2 linked regions of the Alligator mississippiensis genome follow. The protein of the gene in region 1 purifies or fractionates together with the protein of each later gene. This does not show direct contact. Links are inferred from orthologs where the notes say so. Each region holds a gene or a part of one and is shown on either strand. Other genes may lie near its edges.

The links.
Region 2: the proteins of NRP1 (region 1) and FAM241A purify together in Homo sapiens (affinity purification with mass spectrometry; 3 studies listed by BioGRID and IntAct, with this or other methods). This does not show direct contact. The link is inferred for Alligator mississippiensis from reciprocal best matches to the Homo sapiens genes NRP1 and FAM241A.

What each region holds. Positions count from the first base shown.
Region 1 is NC_081828.1:193,670,800-193,681,003, forward strand, and holds the start of NRP1 (neuropilin-1), read right to left. Parts: upstream 4,290-10,204; 5' UTR 3,775-4,289; coding exon 3,702-3,774; intron 876-3,701; coding exon 701-875; intron 1-700. UniProt on the Homo sapiens protein: Cell-surface receptor involved in the development of the cardiovascular system, in angiogenesis, in the formation of certain neuronal circuits and in organogenesis outside the nervous system. Mediates the chemorepulsant activity of semaphorins.
Region 2 is NC_081825.1:126,285,039-126,295,449, forward strand, and holds the start of FAM241A (uncharacterized protein FAM241A), read right to left. Parts: upstream 4,379-10,411; 5' UTR 4,295-4,378; coding exon 4,190-4,294; intron 1-4,189.

The sequences.
Region 1 (10,204 bases):
GATAAGAGCAAATTCTCAGGCTAGTCCTATCTTATTAAGAGGAATAATTGTGTTGATATAATCTCCCATTCTACCCCAGAATGATTGGAGAAGCTGTGTGTTTCTTTCATTCTAGTCACACTCCATGTAGTATTGTAATGCCACGTGAATTTATGGCTTCTCCTGTCAAATATAAGTAATTCAAATGCAGTTTTTAGTAGTAGAACATTACAGAAGGATTTCACTTAGCTAAAAAATGCTCTAACTAACCATTTTATGATATATGGTTCTTATATAGTTTTAGTAGTTCACTGTTAAAGAGGAATGCAAACCAAAGCATTAGTCCCCTCTTTCCACTCACTCACAGCCACTTCACCACTACTGAATGGCTGCAAACACTGAGGAGAGCATTTCAACGGGGAAAAAATATATTGGGCTTCTGTATCCAGGAAAAGGAGACAGAAGGATTATAAGATTAAATCAAACATAATCTTACTAGGTTTTTCAGGCTCAGGAAGCACAACACCTAACTTTAATGTCTTTACCACTAACATTTTACCACTAATCTAGTCTAGATTCAAATCTCTCATGAATTCATTTTCCATGCAAATTTGCACACGTCAGCTGTTTTTCACCAAGTAGATAAGCAGCAAGTTGACATTATGAATATTTTTATCCACTAGATGGTGCTATGGTGCCCTTTTCAGAGGCTCTCACTTACTTGCAATCTCTGTCCTCCAAATCAAAGTGAGGGTTGAAGTTGATCATAATTCTCTGGTAGGGTTCAGGAGCTTGAATCAGCCATTCACATTTTTGGCTTGGATGATAGGAATGAGGATAGCCAGGAGAAGTAAGGTACCCAGGATTTATAATTTTTATAGTATCACCACATTTATCTGCAATGAAAACAAACAGATTTTGTTTATTCTCCCCAAACCATCACACTTCTTCATCTAGTAACCTGGAAGTGGTCAACTATTTGCTGTTTTAAATGTTGTGTTTTCTACAGTCTCTATAGCAAACTTTTACTGTGTTCTACTGGTTAAAGTAGATCACAGTTCCTGTGAACTGGTGGTAGTAATGCGTAATCTTTCTAAATGGTGGTTCTAATTTAGAGAGACCACGATTCAAAACAGTGTTCCTTAACAAAGGCTCACTTCACAAATACAGACAACCGTATCTTCACAATTGATGGTAACATTGGCTCACAGGGGTTTCTTTTAGATTTAATTATCTCAGAGAAGTGTAATCTCATTAGGCAACAAGTTTTAAGTGGAAAGGGTCTAAAAAGATGCTGTCTGCCCCCCTGCACAGCTATTTGATAATAAGCCTGGCCTGTGTCATTGACCATCAGGGGTTGTCTTGTAGTCCCCTACTTTGCTCACAGCAGACCCTTCTTTTGTTTATCAGCCCATAAATCTAAGCAATTTGAAGTTATCAGTGCTCTTTAAATCCAGACTAACAGAGAACAAAGTGCATTTAGTGAAGCAGAAATCATTCAGTATTACTCCTTTAAGGAAGTTTGTTCATGCCTGGGGACCAGATCAAAGTAATGAAGCAGAACCGCTTTCTCCCCCCAAAAACAACAGCAACAAAAGGTTTATTCCTAAACAGTTGAAAAAGTTACCAGTCACCAGATGCAAGTATGAAATTTAGTCTTCTACATCTTGCTCCTTTGCAAACAATGAAATATGATAATGTTTTTTAGCAGACTAAATAGAGGAAAGTAATGCAAAGCTAAAAGGGCTTTGCCAAGTTGGTTGTTCCATTGTCCAGGATAGGCTTGCATTGTCACATTTCATTACTATGGATTTCCTACTGCGGATCTTCAGCCCAAAACACTTTTCCCCCATATACCGATATTTCATTTTCAGCAATAAGATATGGCAATAAACTATAGAAGAGAAGCAGGTATGCACTAATAAATAAGCCCATGTATCACTATTTCCCAATAATGGTATACACTGATTGTAACACTGTATCTAATAGATTCCCCGTGGAAGGAAAATGGCATTCCTTGCTCTCAGCATGAATTTATGAATGTACAGAATTTTATTACAGGAAAACCAGGTCAAATGGAAATGAAAGATGAAGTGTGCATCAAAAATGCATAAAGCTACACGCATTATAGAAATCATTTGCTATAAATTATAAGGGAAGGAAGTGATGGAGTCTATGTTTTGTTTTTTTTTTTCCCAAAGACCAGATATTCCTACCCATGCTATCAAAGACTGCATATTCCTACCCATTCCTAGGATGGCACTAGCTTATTATCTGTTTGCCTTTTGGCTTTGGAAACCATTTCCCCCCCATTGCCAAGAACAAAAGGTACTGCCCTAAATGTGCCACTAGTGATCTTTTTGCCTATGGTTCCAACAGACCCTTGCATTATTTTCAGCGTGTAGCAGACTTGGAAAGCAATCCTGCCTCATTAAATCCACTTCAGCTCTGTGCAAACAACATGGCAGAATCTGGCATCTGTTAAATGAGTGAAATAAAACAGTGCTGTTTCTAGTCACTTGACAGAGTCACTTCAGGAGATGTAGAGGTGCACTCACTACCACCAGTGCTCTTTAATCTGCGACTTCTGGGAAAGTGACAGTATAATAAGATAATGTGGTCTGTTAGACTCCCCGGCTCTGTGAAATCTCTCTGACACTTGATTAAGAAGAGCAGTTTCTAATGTCTTCGGGCCGTTTGGACTAAATAAGGTTAATGAATTAATTCAGCAGGCACTGGTACTGGATGAGGGTGGACAGGGCATTAGTAGGTCTGGAAAGTCACAGGCGAGGTTAACAGCCTTGGTGCCTTGATAGGGCTACTACATCATGTCTATGACTATACACAGGGAGCCTGCTCCTTAGCTCCAGCAACAGCCGCCGCCTTCCCTGTTCCTTCCTGAAGGAAGACTATTGCCAAAGCACACCCCACACATCCCCATCACCCGGTCCCATGCAGTCGGTACAGCCCCAGGATTTTCCCACGCTGGCCTCTAAGCCCGGCCCGAATAGGGAGCAGCGGGGTCCACCTACACAGTCTGCTTCAGACTGAAAAGGAGGGGCACTGCCCACTCCTCACCTCGGGACCCCACTGGAGCTCACTAATGCTGCCCCGCTTCAGACTGGCACAGGGCAGCTCGCTGCGGGAGGGCTCCAGCCCCGCAGCCTCCTCCAGCGCCCGGGGAAGAGCAAGGGGGAGTCCACTCCCTCCCTGTGCCAGCCACGCCACTTGTGGTCTCTGTTATTGAAACCATATCCCACTGTAAGCCTCTTCCTTTAATCACTTGGATTCAAAACCCAGTCAGGCCAAAGTAAATATTTGATCATTAGTTCATGGGAATGGCTCAGGGTTTACTGGGAGAGGAAGAACTGAGGCGAGCTCTTTCCTGTCAAACAGTCCCTAGCCTGCTCCAGCCCGGCTGCGCCGCGGGGCCGCTCGGGAGGCTCGGCGCTGCGTGTCCAAGTGTCGCCTGAAAGTAAAGTCTCTGCCAAAGTCCTTGTCAGGGGATCCCCGCCCGGCCGGACCCTCCGCTGTCCCCTGCCCGCTCCGGCGCGGGGAGCCGCGGGCTGCCGGTGCGGAGGCGTGAGGGCGGCGCGGGCGCGGGCGCGGGGCAGGGATCGCCGACACCTGCGGGGCCCCGAGCGCGGCGCTGCCCAGGGGCGGCCCCGCCGGCGGCGGTCGTGGCGCTCGCTCGCTCCCAGCTGCCCGGCCCCGCCACTTACCGCTCCGCAAAGCCCGGGCGAGGGCGAGGGCGAGGGCGAGCGCCGCGCAGTGCAGGAGGAGTCCCCAGGCCATCTTCCCTCGTGGGCAGGCAGCAAGCAGAGGGGAAGCACAAACCCCCGAGCCGAGCGCCCCCTCGGCACCCGGCTCGTCTCCGATCCCAAATCCTCCCGCGGGCGCGGGGGCAGAGGCGAGCTCCGCGGCGGCGGCGGCTCAGTCCCGGCGTCGCGGCTCGGGCGCCCGCACCCGCGGCTCAGCTCCCGGGCCCCGCGCTCGCTCCGCGCCCCGGCGGCGCTGCCCCGGCCATGCCCGGCCCGGCGGAGCCCGGATCCTGGCGGGGCGGGGGCGGGGGCGGGGGCAGGGGCGGGTGGCGAGCCTGCGGGGACACGAGGGAGTGGAGAGGCGATGAGGGGGGAGCCCTCGGGCGACCTCCTGCCTCGTGCGCCCTGCCCTGCGCCGTCCGGCTCGCGGCACCCGCTTCCCCGGCCGGGAGCTGCCGCTGCCGCTGCCGCTGCCCCACCAACCTGGCCGGGGCGGGCGGCTCAAGTGCGAAGCTCGCGGGCGGCTCCTTCCCGCAGCCTGCGAGCGGGAGCGCGACTCGCGGCAATAAGAGAGGCAGAGGAGCCGCCGCTTGCCGAGCCCCGGCCCCTCCCCCTGCCCGCCCTCCTCCTCCTCCTCCGCCGGCTCCTCCTCGCCCCCCGAGGTGCGGGCAGCCGGGCAGGATCAGCCCGGAGCCAGGGACGACCCGCCAGCCCGCGGCCGCCCCGGGGTGAGGGGCAGGCGGCAGCCGGGGCATGGCCGGGGCTCCCCCAGCGCCCCCTGCAGCGCCTGCGAGGAGACTCCCCCGCTCCTGCCCGCCGCCGCCCGCTGCCAGGGGCTCGCCTCCCCTCCCCGTCCCATCTTCGAAGTCTTCCTTCCCCAGCCTGGGTGTCTTCTCGCCCCTTACCACAACCTGTCCTGCCCCCTCCATGCCAGGGGGCCGCCTGTGTCTTCTGGGGCAGGGAATGCCCAGCACCAGATACTTGGCAAGCAGATCACTGCATCGCTCTGCCCCCAGCACCAGGGCACAGGCGCTGGCTGGCGAGCAGCGGGACAGGCTTGGGATTACAGGGGCCTTGGCATCTTTCTTTCCTTTCTGTCCGGCTGCCATCCCTGCTTTGCCCTACTGGCCTGCCTTGGAGACCTCCCCATTGGAGCCCTTTACGCAGGGCACATGCAGCTCCTGGATTCAACGGGACTGCCTTTATTGTGGGAGCTGTGGTAGGGGTAGAGAAAGGCCTCTAAGGGCTGAAAGGTGGATGGGTCTGCTCTAGGAAACAGCCTACAGCTGCATGGTCCTTCTTCCTCCCCGGTGCTGGGAAACAATTTGTTACTAGTGTACAGCAGGGCCAAGCACTGTTAAAACTTACCACCACCACCACAGCAACCAAAGCATATTAGGGAATTCGTTCCACAAAGAGATTTTTTTAGAGGATGCTGTGAGAAAATGATTTGACGCTATTGAGGCCAGGGTCATTTGCCTTGTGCAGTAGAACATAAATCCCTGTCCCCTGTAACTGTGGTTGAAATAATTTTCAGACACAGTTGTACAAGTCTGCAGTTGCATGCAACAAAGCTACAAACATGTTGTATCCCTGCTGAGAAATCACACTCAGCCTTAGACTCCTCCAAACTTGACTCAATCTCACCTCATTTCCATTATCCATTCTTTTGTCTTTCTGAGCAGATGGTCCTGTCCTTTAAAGAACTGACTATCTAGCTCATCACTATTTTATAGTATGCCCTCTATCATAATTGTTGTTCCTGAATGCCAGGCACAGGACCAGATAGTCTTCTTCTGTTTCCTGATTCCAGTCTCATCATATCCAAAGTTCAGCTGCAATTTGTTCTCCTAATCATAGCTGAATACCCACTTCTTCTCTTTCCTCCATCTCAACCCTTACCTATGCCTTCGAGCAGACTGGTTCCTGGCTCATCACGAGCTGGCTGCCAGCTGCTAGTCAGACGTCAATACAGTAAGTTTAGTCTCAGCCTTTTCTCATTTCCCTGTCTTCAGCCAGTCTCGGCACCCATCATATACCTCTTGATCGATTGTGATGTATATTTTATGGATGGCACATTAAGATCCACCGGATTTCCCCGCCTTTCTTAGTGATATTCCAGCAGCTTGGGGAGGGGGTCTGGGATGACTTTGCTCTGATTATTAAAGAACAGATGCTGAGTGGACACAGTGTAGCACACCCCTAAGATGGTGCTATCCCTAATATAACTGCTAGGCTGACACTTTTGGAGACACAATGTAGCTTTTTCAAGGAGGTGTATCTACTTTTTGAGTTAGTAAATTCCATATTTAAGGTTGTCTGTTTGAGTTTTTAATAACTTGTGTTTAAAACAGTCTCAGAGGCTGAGTATAGTCTTATTTTTACTTATTGAACAAACACCCAAAGAATAAGTGTATTAAAATGTTACACATCATCTGAAAATGATGGCTGTCTTCCTTTGGGACTAGTGTTGTTCTGTTGTGCATCTCTATGAAGTCACAGAGAGAATAAATCCATTCCCAAATGCATTATTCTAGGGTGCTCCAAACAAAAACCCATCTGTCTTTTGACTTTGTTTTCCTAACAGATACGCAAGTTCTTTTTTCATGTATTAAATGTATATTCAGCTTTAGAGTACTATTATTTTGTATATTTTAAAAGAAATGTAAATAATCAAAATTAAAATAAGTCATGTAAATACAGAGCAAATAGATTCACCATGTATGTGGAGGCAATATCCATGTACTATTTTGCAAAAAAAAGTGATGATTGCTGCTTTCACTACCTCACCTGTCTGGTGAGCACTAAATCCACATCCCAGGACTATTTACAACAATCTAAGGCAGGGCTGTCTTACATCTAAGGGGCTGGGGGCCACATAACCTGTGGCTCTTGGCCTCTCAGTCCCCAATCCCTGATTGCTGCACTGTGTACTTGCATGGTGCCCACTGCGGTACTGCACACCCACTTGGCAACTCCTTCCACAGCTGCAGTGCATCCTTAGGTCCCCAAATCACCCTGTACCACACTTCCCTGCCCCCTGGACTGGAGACAGGAAGGGGTGGGGGGCAAAGGTGCCAGAGACCCTGGCTGCTGTTGCATTTGGAGTGACAGAGGGAGTGGCAGACTGGCAGGAGCCTGGAGGGGGGGGAGGTTTGCAATGTAACCCCTTGAGAGCTGTATGTGGCCTGCAGGACACCAGTTGGATAGCTGTGTACTAAGATATAGAGAATCTATGGTTCCTTTTCCCTTATAGAGACGTGTGCACTAGGCTACAGATCCAATTTTGCTACCAGACAGCAGCAACCTCCTTTAAAGCAGGACTCCTTCCTTTCTTCAGAACTAAACTGAGATCTTGAGTTAGATTTCCTTTATATTATTCTGAGTGTGCATGATATTGTACTACAACTCAGCATACGAACATCCTTTTCTCTTATCATATGTCATCAATGTTTTTTCTGTTCATCTCTTTCTTGCAGACATCCATATGCACACTCTTCCATCCATGTATGAGCATCATCAAATATTGTTTGAAAGCACCTTGCCCCCAGTTTCCATTTATTTATTATCTGAACATGTTGAATCTTTAATCATCTAAAATATAAACTAGAATCAAATGAAATACTCAGAAGCCTGTGTTCTGCAATCCATTTCTCACATTTTGGTTATTGCATTTTATTGTACTGATCCTGCAAATGCTTTCATATGTGCTTAACTTTACATCTTTATATCAATAAAGTGATTTCCTAGTTGGGGCTGGCTGGGGTTATAACATCTGAATCTGAATCTACTTTGTGCCAAAGTTCATGGAGTGGTCACCTCTAGGCTTTTGGTTCAGATCCGTCTCTGCTTTGAAATTTGATTTAATGTTTATAATGCCTTATTGAAGATTGTCTCCACTTCCATTATAAACCTGCTTCTTGAGAAGTTTATAATTCAGCCATACCAAATATTTGCCCTTAGCTAAATCATGTAATATAAAACTTAAACTACCAAATGAAAAATATAGTTTGCCATTTAAACGACAGTAGAGAACAACTTTGAAGTTTACCTCTTTTCTGCACTCATGTAACTCAGAAGTAAATTTAATTAAAAAACGAAGTTTGGCAAGCAAATAATCATGAAGGTAGACATATTTATTTGGAGTTATTTTGAAAAAGAATAGAACAAATTAAAACCATCCAAGATATTAGCTTCTGACAAACAGAGATGTGCACTGTGACTTTATATCAAAGTAATTCCATTAGTTTTTATTGCAGATCTGGAAGCAAAGCTAATATGTGATAGTTTCTTTATCTGGTTCTAGTTCATGCTTTGTCTATTTGTAATCCTGTCTTCTCTGGCCATCCTGTTTCTCAGTTATCTGCTAAAGTAGTGTCTGTCCAAAATGGGGCTTTCATGTCATCTACTCTTCTGTTTCTTTGGATCCATCAACCACTTCCTCAAATCTCTTAGATGGCTTCCTGTCTTTTAGTGCCCTGAACTCAAGCTTCTTTCCCTTATCTTTAAGATCACGCATACGCTTGCCTTCCTCTACAGCTTTCTTTCCCCATATGTTTTCACCTCCTACAATGTACATCCTCCTACTCACTCTCACATACAATGGTTTTCTCTATCCTATAAGGTGTATTTCTACCCTGCCTTCTGCTGTCTCCAAAATGCAGCCACATATATCTGAAAGAGCCTGTTTCTCTTTCTTTTTTTCTTTTTTTTTTTTTTTGTACTGGAAGATCTTTTCCTCTTTCCTAGGCTTTGTTCTGTTCTATTCAGTTCCTTAAACTGTGCCCCTCATTGTGTTACCAGTAATCTCTCCTGGAATCTTTTCTACATCTACACAACCCTTTCCTTCCCCTTTTTCTCACTCAGCCATCTCTCTAAACCTTCCTTTTCCTGAACTATTGTTTGTGGCTTGACTTGCTGTTGTTTGTCTTTTCTGATTAGGCTGTAAAAAAAGGATATGTGAAGCATAATTTAATTTATGACACTATATTACCCTAACTGATATTTAATCATAAATTAGTAAGAAATAACAATACCTGGTAGACTAAAATGATTCTTAAGTAGTTATCACCAATTATCAAGGAAATAACACCTATAGATCTGTCTGAAGCTAAGGAGCTGATCACATTCCTATTGAGAGCAAGGATAAAACTTTCATTGGGTGTGTCTACACATGCATTTACACTGGCTTAAATTTACTGCACAGTAAGTTACTGCGCAGTAAGCGAGAAGAGACCAACATCTACATATGCAGGCTTCAAAGTTAGTCCCAAGACAGTCCACACAAAAAGTGTTACTGCGCAATAAGGTGTCTACACATGCATTACTGTGTAGTAACTAAACAGGCATAAATTTGATACCTGCATGATGTAGGTATCAAATTTATGGTCAAGTCAGCATAAGTCGCTGTATTTACTGCACAGTAGGCATGCATGTGTAAGGTGCACTCATACTGAGCAGTAATTTTGGTTACTGCACAGTAAATGTGCACTTGTAGATGCACCCACTGACTTCAAAGGAAGAGAAAGCATGCCCTAAATTGTGATAAAAGTTCCTTAGATAATAAGCTGGTTTTATCAATTTTAGCTTTTCACATTTGGTTAGAAAAATGATATACCAGTATTTGTGTTTCAATGAAGATACCAGCTCCACATAAGACATAGACAAGCCATTTGATATGTATGGCCTCACTAAATTAAAGACATATAATCATAAAGAATACAAAATAGTGTTAGATTTATCTTTGTATTTCCAATCTTTTGGTGATCTTGGCTAGAAAAATTAATGTCTACCTTATCAAATCTATCCATCGCTATACATTATATATAATTACATTACTTTGTTATTGTATATTATGGATATTACTTCATACATTTTACATTTGATGTAATAATGCTAGAAAGGATGCAATGTTATTAAGAAAATGGAAGCTGTCATCAGGATGCTGCATTTTTGTCATGCACCTCCTTCCGCTGGAATGCAGCAATCACTGTAAACAAGCAGTTGTACTGCATTCATTACAGCTCAGATTCCTGTTCTCAGTCATCTTTAATCTTCTTTAGTAAATGTTCTCTATCATAATTTTATCTGTCACTTATTCCAGCTGATGTTAAATGTCTTTTCAGCTAAATGCTTGGTTGGGTTATTTATTAACTAGAGAACATTTGCAACGGCATACACACCAAAAGGAGGACCCACTTGTAGACTATAGTGGATTGACCAGAACTCTAAGAATGGTACTTCTAAGGATTAAATCTTAGGCTACAGATTATCTCAGATGAGTTGGCTTCACCTGTTAATAAGGGTAATCAGGAACTCAGGAAACTGAAGTAGCAACTAATATGTTGATTTTTTTATCCAAAGGATTGTGCATTTCAACTGCCATCTGATCCAGCTAGGTTAAATGTAGTCAATTTATGTAGCTCTCACTCATGTTGTTGTATCTTAAGGCTATGAGGTTAGAT
Region 2 (10,411 bases), on another chromosome or scaffold:
AGTGTCAAGTTAGGCAGTACAAGATAAAGGAGTTACACCTTATTCCCCCCTACCCTCCTCTCCCCACAACGAGTACACAACCACACATCTTCAGAATATTCATCTTCTGAAGAGGATCAGTTAGTGAGATAATATAATTTTAAGAAGTTATGTGGATGTAAGGCAAGTTATCCCTCAGCAACTAAAGTTATTTCTCTTCCTCCTCCAAAATAGTCTTTCCAGCATAGACAAAGCCTTATTTATATCTACAAGCAAGAAAAGTTGCAGTCTGAGAATACACCTCTCTTCTCTCTGTGCGTTTTTAAATCCAGTCACAGGCAGCAGTTAATTCTACGACCTCCTGTGACAAAGAAGTTCACAGAGCAACTGTATGTGACATTAAATACATTTTTCTTTTCTTCTTAAAAATGTACGTCTTGTTAATATCACAAAGGGAACCTTTACTGAGTATATCTTATTAATAAGTTCAAAAAGATTTTAAGGCCAAAGAGTTTAGCATTCCTCAAAAACCAGACTTGTCAGAGAGTCACATTACTCACATTAAACACTCAATATTACAAGAGCTTGTGACTGGAACAGAGTAATTGTAATTATTTGGGTCTTTTGAGGCAGGAAGGATAAGTTTAACATAACCATATTGGGTACAACCCTACTCAGGCTGAGCCCATTCCCAGTGGGCATAAAAGAAATCTCTTTTACAAAGTTCAGGGCCTTGCCACACACAAAATGTGCATGCAGGCTTAGTTCCAAAATCAAGTCTTACATACACTAACATTAGTCCAGAGAAACCCCACTGGAGACTGTAAAAATTTACACCACTGTAACTGGGCAGAATCTTACTGCTTGTCTTCTTATACACTATAAGTGTATACTTATACACTTCTTTTACACTTTGTATACAGCACAGAGGAACTAAGTACCTTCTCATTCCACTCTTAAATCCCTTGTTATTTTTTAATGCAGAAAGACAAAACACAGGAAAACACATTATGTCAACAGCTGGTTCCTGAAGTACAGGAGACTTAGTGGTTATTTACTGGCTCAGTCAGCAACAACATACAGAATAACAAAATTAGTTAACCATGCATGATTCATTCTGATCTATTTAGAATCAGCTGATCTGGAAAGAAAGAAGGAAAAAAAAGAATTTTTTTCACTCATTTGCTGACTCTTTGACCTTATTTACATTTAAAAGTTTTTTCCTTCATTTTTTTCATTAAAAACTTATCAATGTCCTATATTTTGTTGCATTTTATAATGCTGCTTCTGCTCTATTGTTTGTTCATAGTTCAGCACCTTAATCTGGGAAAATATGCTATAGTGAGAAAATATTTCTACTACATCTGAACTTGTATTTTCCCTTAATTGGCTGTAGGCATTCTGACACCATTCTGTGTTCAAGATCAACATTACTGCATAAAATGGGAGGGAGAAATTCTTAACAGCAAGATAGTCTTATGGCCACCAAATTATCCCTCCAGGATGACAGCTTTGGCACAGTGAAAGTAGAACAGTCATGATCAAACACAGTGGACCATAAAACATGTGGAGGTGTACTCCTGCTGGGCATGGCTCCAGAAAAGCCTGTCATTGCTAGTCTGCAAAAAGTTCCTTTTTAAGAGGGAAAGTTAGTGCTGGTCCAGTCAGTGTTAAAGGCTGAGCTCTTCTGACAGAGCTTATGATATTTTCCTGGAACACAAAACAATAATGTGAATGGCAATCAGAATGACCATGGTAAAATTTTCTGCACTCTTTAGGTAGTGGAAAGCATACAATGAAGCCACTACTTCTGTCTTTGTACCCATCTTGACTATCTTATCCACCTGCACACACACGCAAGTGAAGTTCTTTTAAGGGTGTTGTTAGATGGACAAACACCCACGTGATCCACAAGATAAACTCTAGAGATTTCAAATATGAATCCATAGTGTCAAAAACATTCTGACCTATTAAGGTATTTCTGAGCTGAGTTAGGCAATTTAGAATCTGCAAGTCAAACATTTTGCCACTATGAAAATGTTAGTTGCGTAATGGATTTTCACAATGAAAAGTTCATTAACCCATCTATTTTTATTGCCTGAGTGGAATATGCAATTTCACCATATACCATCAAATCCATAACCTGAGTAAATAAATTGTAAAATAAAAATAATTTTTAAAGACTATTTGGGGGAAAAAAACTACTGTATTATTGTAAGAGTTTACTGTGGCTTTAGAAAACCCTTTAACTTAATACCTTGGGAAAATTATGAGATTTTCCCCAGTAGTGCAACATGTGGTTTTAAAGTCTAGGTTAGTGCTAACAGTGAGAGACAGGCTGGGGATTGATATTTGATATTCTGACAATATCAACCCCCCAAATAAACAAACAACCCCCCCCAAAACCTTTTTTCTACATTTTCTTGCATGCTAAATCTGATTTCTCAGAATTTTGTTAGGAGAAAAAAACACCTTATCAAAACAGCCATTCATAGCATGGAGCATAATAAAAATGATACTGTATGTGCAAATGCAATTTATCAAAAACTTTGAGCTAACAATGTGTGGTTTTATATCACACACTGAAAGCTGTCTTATAGTAGTAGATAACTGCATAACAGACTTTCGCCCCCAACGTAATGGATTTTTAGCCTCAACATAAAGAAAATGCTTAAGAAAGATCACGTAACTTGTTTTGATCTGTACTTCCTGTCTCATACATGTGGTTATTAATATAGTGCCATTTTGAGCCATCTTTAATGGAGTAATTTATGCCTCAATTTTATCTTGCCATTCAGATCGCTCATTAGCTTAAGTCATTAAACTGAGGAAATTGTGTGCCTGGCTGCAGGAACTGTAGAAAACAGATTTTAAATGGCTTATCCAATTCAGACAGTGTTTTTTGTTTTTGTTTTTTTTTTAAGTGACTCTCGCTCTAAAGTGATCATCCTTAAAACTGGTCGGTTTTCCTCCCCCTGGATACTAAGTGACAGAACTTTAATTTGCAGGAAGGATACCAACAACCTCTTCCTTTCCCTTACCCCCCCCCACACACACACACACTTCAGCCCTAGTGTTCAGGTTTAAGGCCAAGTCTCTTGCCGTGGAAGCAGAGGAAGTTAAAGAAAGGAATGCCAGTCTGCAACCTACTCTGACCTGCAGATGGACCTGTGGCTCGAGGATTGGGCTTTCATGTCACCTCAAGACCCACAGATGAGCCGTGGCAGAAAGCATCCTCGTGTGGAGGGATCGTGGCCACCGACTCTCCAGACACATAACCAAAGAACGAGACCTCTGGCACTGAACCTCCCTAACCTGGCTTGCCAGCTCTCTCTCTGCAACACCTGGCATGTCACCTCATTCAGAAGGGCTATACTAACCTATTCTTGAGGTAGGTTGTCATCGGCCCATTCCCATTGCATCTCGGCCTTTTTGCGACTAAGATCAAGTGTGACTGGGGGCATCTGAACCCCAAGGCCTCCAGGAAGAAACCTGGCACATCACGGGAGCTAGAAACTAGGCAAGCGACCGCTCGTGTCATGGGTGGCTGGGACCGTAAAACAGCGGATGGTGGGCTGAGACAGGAGGCACCTGGCTCTTTGCTTTCACTTGCGGACACTGCAAGATCTTTTATTAGATCAACTAAACGGCTGGGAAATTTGTTCTTTGCAAGCTTCTGGGCACAGACTCCCTTCATCACTTGCAGAAATGCAAAAAAATCAAGAACTCTTGGTTCCAAACCGAGACCTTTTATGAGACCAACTAAGAAACGGCAAAAAAAAATCATCGTTTGCTGCATGTTTGCCGGGCTCACGCGCCCCTCATCAGGCTCAGGGGAAGCTCAAGATGGTAAAGAGTCCCCATAGGTAGGAAATACGTAGGACCCAAGAGTTGGAGCCGGTTGCACTCCTTTTTGCCTCAGAACGCCCCGGCTGCCACATGCATCCCTTCGCCACTCGGGCATTTTTTTGACTCTGAAAAAATCCCCAGAGCTGCTCCCAGACCCTGCCAGGTATTAAGGCAGCAGCTCCCTCTCTGTCCCTCCAAGGCAGAGTTTGGATGATGGCTTGCACAGGACGGCGTGCATCCTGCTTCAGGCCGGGGGCGCCCCTCCGCGGGAAATCTGTGCCCTCAGCAGCCAGCCGCGCAGCAGGTGCCAGCCCATGCCGCAGGGTGGGGCGCCCCCCACGTCCCGAGCCCCTGCACCCACCTGCTGCTCCCGCCGGGCTTGGGCGGCACCGACCTGCTCCTGCGCCCCGGGGTCCCCCTCGCAGCCGCAGTCCGCGGGCGGCAGCACCTCCGCCCTGGATCCCATCGCCCCGAGCCCGAGCCGCGCGGCCGCAGCGGGAGGAGGCGGCGCCGCTGCCGCCGGCTGGGCAGGGCGCGCCCGGGCGTCACGGGGTGGCAGGGGCGGGAGCGGCGGCCGCGCAGGCGCCGAGGGGAGCCGCTCCCTCCCGCCGGCGCCGGAGCCCCTGGGCAGCGCCGTGGGGAGGGGGGAACGAGGGAGGGAGGCAGGGCCGTAATTTCTCCTCACGCTCCCCCTGCTCCGGGAGCCGGGCGGGAAGGTAAGGGAAGGGAGCCCCGCGGGGCAGGAGCGGCCCCTTCCCAACCCAGTCGTGACATCCCTGCAGGGCAGCAGCCAGGCAGGGAGAGCTGGGGGGCGGTTCGGGCCTGAGCTTGCCCTTATCACCGCACAGGCGGGCGAGGGCACCTGCGGTAGCTTTTAGATCAAGAGTCGGGAAAATTGTTGCTTTGCACAAATGCCCGTCAAAGATACCGCTTTATATATATATATATATATATATATATATATACATACACACACACACATAATATTTCGTGTTCCAGGTCAAATGAGTCAAATCGCATTGACTGAGCAGAACTCGAGCTTCCAAAAATGGCATCGATGAAGCAGGGGCGACCCTGAACAATGTGTGCCTGAAGAGGCTGCGGGGGCACGGTGGGAGCTCCCACAGGTGGTCGCAGCAGCGTCAGCAGCGGGGGTGGCTACCCACAGATGCCACTGGCAGTGTTGGCAACAGCCAGCGGAGATCAGCGATGGCCTGCAGATGGCAGCAACGGTGTTGGTGGCAAGGGGGGGTGGTGGCAAGCAGCGACTGCCTGCAGGCACCACCAGCACATGGCGGTGGCCAATCACAGGGGGTGCGTGTGCACCCCCTACGCGTCACCAATGAGCACGACTCCATCGTTTTAAACGCCGTGTACGGCACTGCAACTGGCAACATCCTCCACCCCAGACCTATCACCAGAGCCATCCCTAGGGGTGTGCACGGCCCAGGGCACATTAGCCTGTGCACATATTGCTTCCCATCCACTCTGATGTTCCCCGACACACATTTGCATTTTCACAGACCTGCATTTTGCATGTTGGCTTACACTTCTATTCCACCCAGGAGAGCACAAACCAGCAGACTCTCCCTGCGCCTGAAGAAGGGTGTTTGTTCCTGAAAGCTTGTAAAGAAAATTTTGTCCAAACTATTTAGTTGGTCTAATAAAAGATACTGCATTTACCCCCAAAAACCTATATGATCTGGGACTTCAAGTACAGGCAACCCCTACTTAACGTTGTTTTGCTTATTGCTATTTTGCTATGACGTTCATTTTAAATTGATACCTGATTCCACTTAGCGCTCAGCAAGTTTCATTATAACGCTCGTAGTCGCTACCTTGTATCATTAAAAAAACTTGCAGTCACCATCTTGGATCTCAGTTACTTTAGGTTTTGCCTAATGCTCGTTTTGCTTAACGCTGGGTTTTTCAGGAACCAATTAAGACCACTAAGTGGGGGTTAGCTGTACTCCCAGACCTATAGGCAGGCATCTTGTGTGCAGGCCAAAGCCCAGAGGTTTTGGGGTTTGGATGCCCCCAGATACTACAGGCAAGCATCCTGCATCCTAGACGCGTTAGTCCGGGACTTCAGTTATTCCCTACACTCAATCTTAGCTCACAAGAGGATGAAAAGCAATATCACATTCACCCAAAGAACCTTGTCTGCCTGTGTCCTCAGACCAGGGTCGGGCAATTATTTCGGGCAGAGAGCCGCTTACTGAGTTTTGGTAAGCCATTGAGGGCTGCATGATAGGCAGCCAGGGCAAATAAATATTAATTTTCTAAATTTTGTAGGGGCCCCATGAGCCGGATAGAATGGCCTGGCAGGCCGCATCTGGCCCACGGGCTGCATTTTACCCACCCCTGCCTTAGACCAACACGGCTATAATCAACAACCCTTTATCACCTCCCAGCTCTCATGTCACAGAGTCAGAGAGGTCAGGCTGGAAGGGACCGCCAGAGGGCATCCAGTGCAACTCCCTGCCTGAGGCAGGATCAGCTCTATCCAAACCATCCCATACAACCATCCTGTAAACTCAACGTAAGATCAACCCTGACACAACATAGACCTAATACCCTAGCCTTGGAACCCTCCGCTCAAGCTGTGCCTCTGGGCTGGAACTCGCTTGTGGTGGACTTGAGACAGCTTTCAAATCTCACTGAGAGGTTCAGTACCTCCTCAGTGACTCTCCAGGATGGCTGGGACAGCGGGAAACTGTCATTGTGAGTGAGAGGTAAACAAGGATGAAGGGAAGATACTTTTTCTGCTCTATGGGCTGCTGCTACACATTCACTGAGTCATAAAAATAGGGTTGGAAGGGACCTCAGGAGGTCATCTAGTGTCCAACCCACTGCTCAAAGCAGGACCATCCCCAACTATATCATTCCAGTCAAGGCTTTGTCCAACCAGGTCTTAAAAACCTCCAAGGTTGTCAAGTGTTACATATATTATGCAAGTGACTAGTCCACTGCAAAATAAACGTAGATGGGCCACCATGCAAAGTAATTACAGCATGATAAAAAAAATGATTTGCCAGCTATAAAAAGAATCAACCAACTATAAAGTTAGTGCTTGAAATTGTGTAACAACTTCATAGCTGGATTCTAGCTACATGATGATGTAACAGGGTCCTATATAGATTAGCTAAGTCAGAGAAATGGAGCAGAAGTTTTCCTAAGCAGCAGGCTTATGACAGCGTCTGCTACAACATCTCTGATTTGGTTACTCTACAAGGTTCATCTCTACCCTGCCACACTTCAAACTAAGACGACTAACTGCCTCTCTCCAGGAGAGCTTCTGGCCATTGTTAGAACATGAAACTCAGAGCAAGCCTATCATTTCTGCCTGTTGTTTTCTGTCTGAAAGCAGAAGCAGGAAGTACAACAAACTCTCTTCAGCAACCACCCTTAGATCAAAGTCCAAAACAAGCACTGCATTTAAATGAAGCGAGGAGTGATAATACACATGACTTACATATGGCAAATTATTCTGTTAATATTTATAATGATCTAAAAACTAGTTTCATAGTTTCATAGTTTGAAGGGTTGGAAGGGACCTTGACAGATCATTAAGTCCGACCCCCTGTCATGGCAGAAAAGAGCACTGGGGTCAAACGACCCCAGCAAGGTGTTCATCTAGCCTCCTCTTAAAGACCCCCAGGGTAGGAGCCAGCACCACTTCTCTTGGAAGTTGGTTCCAGATTCTAGCCGCCCTGACTGTGAAGTAGCGCCTCCTGATGTCTAGTCTGAAACTAACCTCTGCCAGCTTGTGACCGTTATTTCTAGTCACTCCTGGTAGTGCTCGGGGGAACAGGGACTCCCCCAATGCCTGCTGGTCCCCTCTGACTAGTTTGTAACAGGCCACTAGATCCCCCCTCAGCCTTCTCTTGTGGAGGCTGAACAGGTTCAGGTCCTGTAGCTTCTCCTCGTAGGGTCTGCCCTGCTGCCCCGATCATGCGGGTGGCCCTCCTCTGGACCCTCTCCATGTTGTCCACATCCATTCTGAAGTGCGGTGCCCAGAACTGGAAGCAGTACTCCAACTGCAGCCTGACCAGTGCTGCATAGAGGGGGAAGATCACCTCCTTGGACCTGCATGAGATGCATCTTTGGATGCATGACAAGGTACTTTTGGCCTTCCTGATCGCATCCCCACACTGTCGACCCATGTTCATTTTGGCATCAATAATGATTCCAAGATCCTTTTCTGCCTCTGCACTGACAAGAAGGGAGTTCCGCAGCCTGTAGGTATGCTGCTGGTTCTTCCTCCCCAGGTCCATCACCTTGCACTTGTCAGTGTTGAAAACCACCCTGTTCTCATCTGTCCGCCCCCGTATCCTGTCTAGGTCCAATTGCAGCCTAAGGTTTGTTAAACCAGGAAATTCAGAGCTAAGGTTAAGCTTAAAAGAAAATGTCCCCCAGGCTTTTGTATCAAGCTAGCATTGACAATTTCATTATAGCAATCATATTATTGTTTAACTTTTCATTCAAGGCAAATACAATAATAAAATCAGTTAAAGTGTTTGAAATACAAAGTAGGAAGCAAGGCTTTCAGGTTAACATTACCTCCTATTCCCGTTCTCCTTTGTTCTGTCATCGTCTATAGGGACATGCACTGTCACTTTCCTAGAAGTTATTAACTGCCCCATTTAGAAGGAAAAAAGACATGGTTAGTTTAGATGGTAAGTTGTTGAATTCCAATCCCTCTTTCTTTAAGACGGAGTGCAACAAACACACAAAAAAAGAGAGAAAAGGAAAGATTAAAAAACACTTTTGAAAGAGCCACTTGGATACTAGCTGAAGAATTGCCGCAGTACAAAAAGAAATTCCCCACAAATCACACACCATTAGTTTTGACATACCACCCTTCCCTGGAACCTATACAGAAAATCCGCAAACAATTGCAACCCATACAAGATTCATAGATTTCATAAACATTCAGGCTGGAAGGGACCTCGGAAGATCATCGAGTCCAGTCCCCTGCCCCAGGGGCAGGAAGTCAGCAGGGATCATAGGATCCCAGCAAGATAAACATCCAAATGTCTCTTGAAGGTGTTCAAAGTAGGTGCTTGAACCACCTCTGGCATCAGTCTATTCCAAACCTTGGGGGCTCGGATAGTAAAGAAGTTCTTCCTTATGTTCAGCCTGAAACGGTCATGGAGGAGTTTGTGACCGTTTGACCTTGTCATCCCTTGGGGCACTCTGGTGAACATCTGTTCCCCCAGATCCTGGTAAGCATCCCTGATAAACTTATAGGTGGCCACCAGATCACCCCTGAGTCTGCACTTTTCCAGGCTGAAGAATCCCATGGCTCCCAAGAAGAAGACCAGTTCTTAAAGAGATTTTTCCAGAACCACACATCCTAGCCTTTAAACAAGCACTGAACCTCACCAAACTTATCACCAGAAGAAAACTTCCTATGGCCCAAAGCACACCAAATGGATCTAGACCATGTCAGGACAAGACATGTAAAACCTGCAAACATATCTCCACTACCCCCACAATTACTACACCCTACCACAGAACCATCACCATTCCTGTATTTTATACCTGCACCTCCAGAAATGTACTGAATGCCTTGATGGAAAATATGTAGGAGAAACCAGACAACAACTGCATACCAGAATGAATATACACCAAACATCATCAAAGACAAAAATACCCAATTACTTGTGGGTGCACACTTTTCACAAGACAACCACTCTCTCTCCAATTTCTTAGTTCTAATCCTCAAACGGAATTTACAAAACACCTTTTGTAGATAAGCCTATGAACTTCACTTCATAAATCTACAGGATACAAAAAATCATGGACTGAATATAGACATTGGATTTATGGCACATTATAACTTGCCTGTAAATCAATAATCTCAGGTAACCTCTCTACATTTTATCAGCTACATTCTGTCTCCAGGTCAACTTTCCCCACTTCCCCCCCACCACATACCTGCCTCGCACATATTGTTTCCCATCCACTCTGAACTTCCATGCCATGCATTTGCATTTTCACAGACCTACATTTTACATATTGGCTTACACTGCTATTCCATCCTGGAGAGCACACAAGCACCAGCAGACTCTCCCTGTGCGTGAAGAAGGCTGTTTGTGCCCGAAAGCTTGCAAAGAATTTTTTTTTCCCAAACTATTTGGTTGGTCTAATAAAAGATATCACATCTACCCAAAGAACCTTGTCTGCCTATGGTCTTATATCAACATGGCTATAACAAACACCCCCAAGATTTAAAAAAATGCAGCTTATACTTGTCACCATTCTTATTACTGCCTCCCAGGACTACTGTAAAAGGTTGCCTTCTCTTGTAGCTAAACCAAGCTCTCATGATGGTATGTATATCCTAGCTGTTCCTAATATTTTGGAGTCCTATTCAGGGGCTTGCAAAACAACTTCTAGTCACTCATAACTAGATGTGATACCAGTTCCACCTGACTCTGGAATTAATGACTGTCGATAGGACTCATAACCCTACTTATAAGGGCTACAGCCCCATTTGGGGTTGCAACCCCTCTTTTGGAAACCACTGGTCTACTGGGAACCACTGATGGATATTGATGTGCTCTGTGGTTCAGTC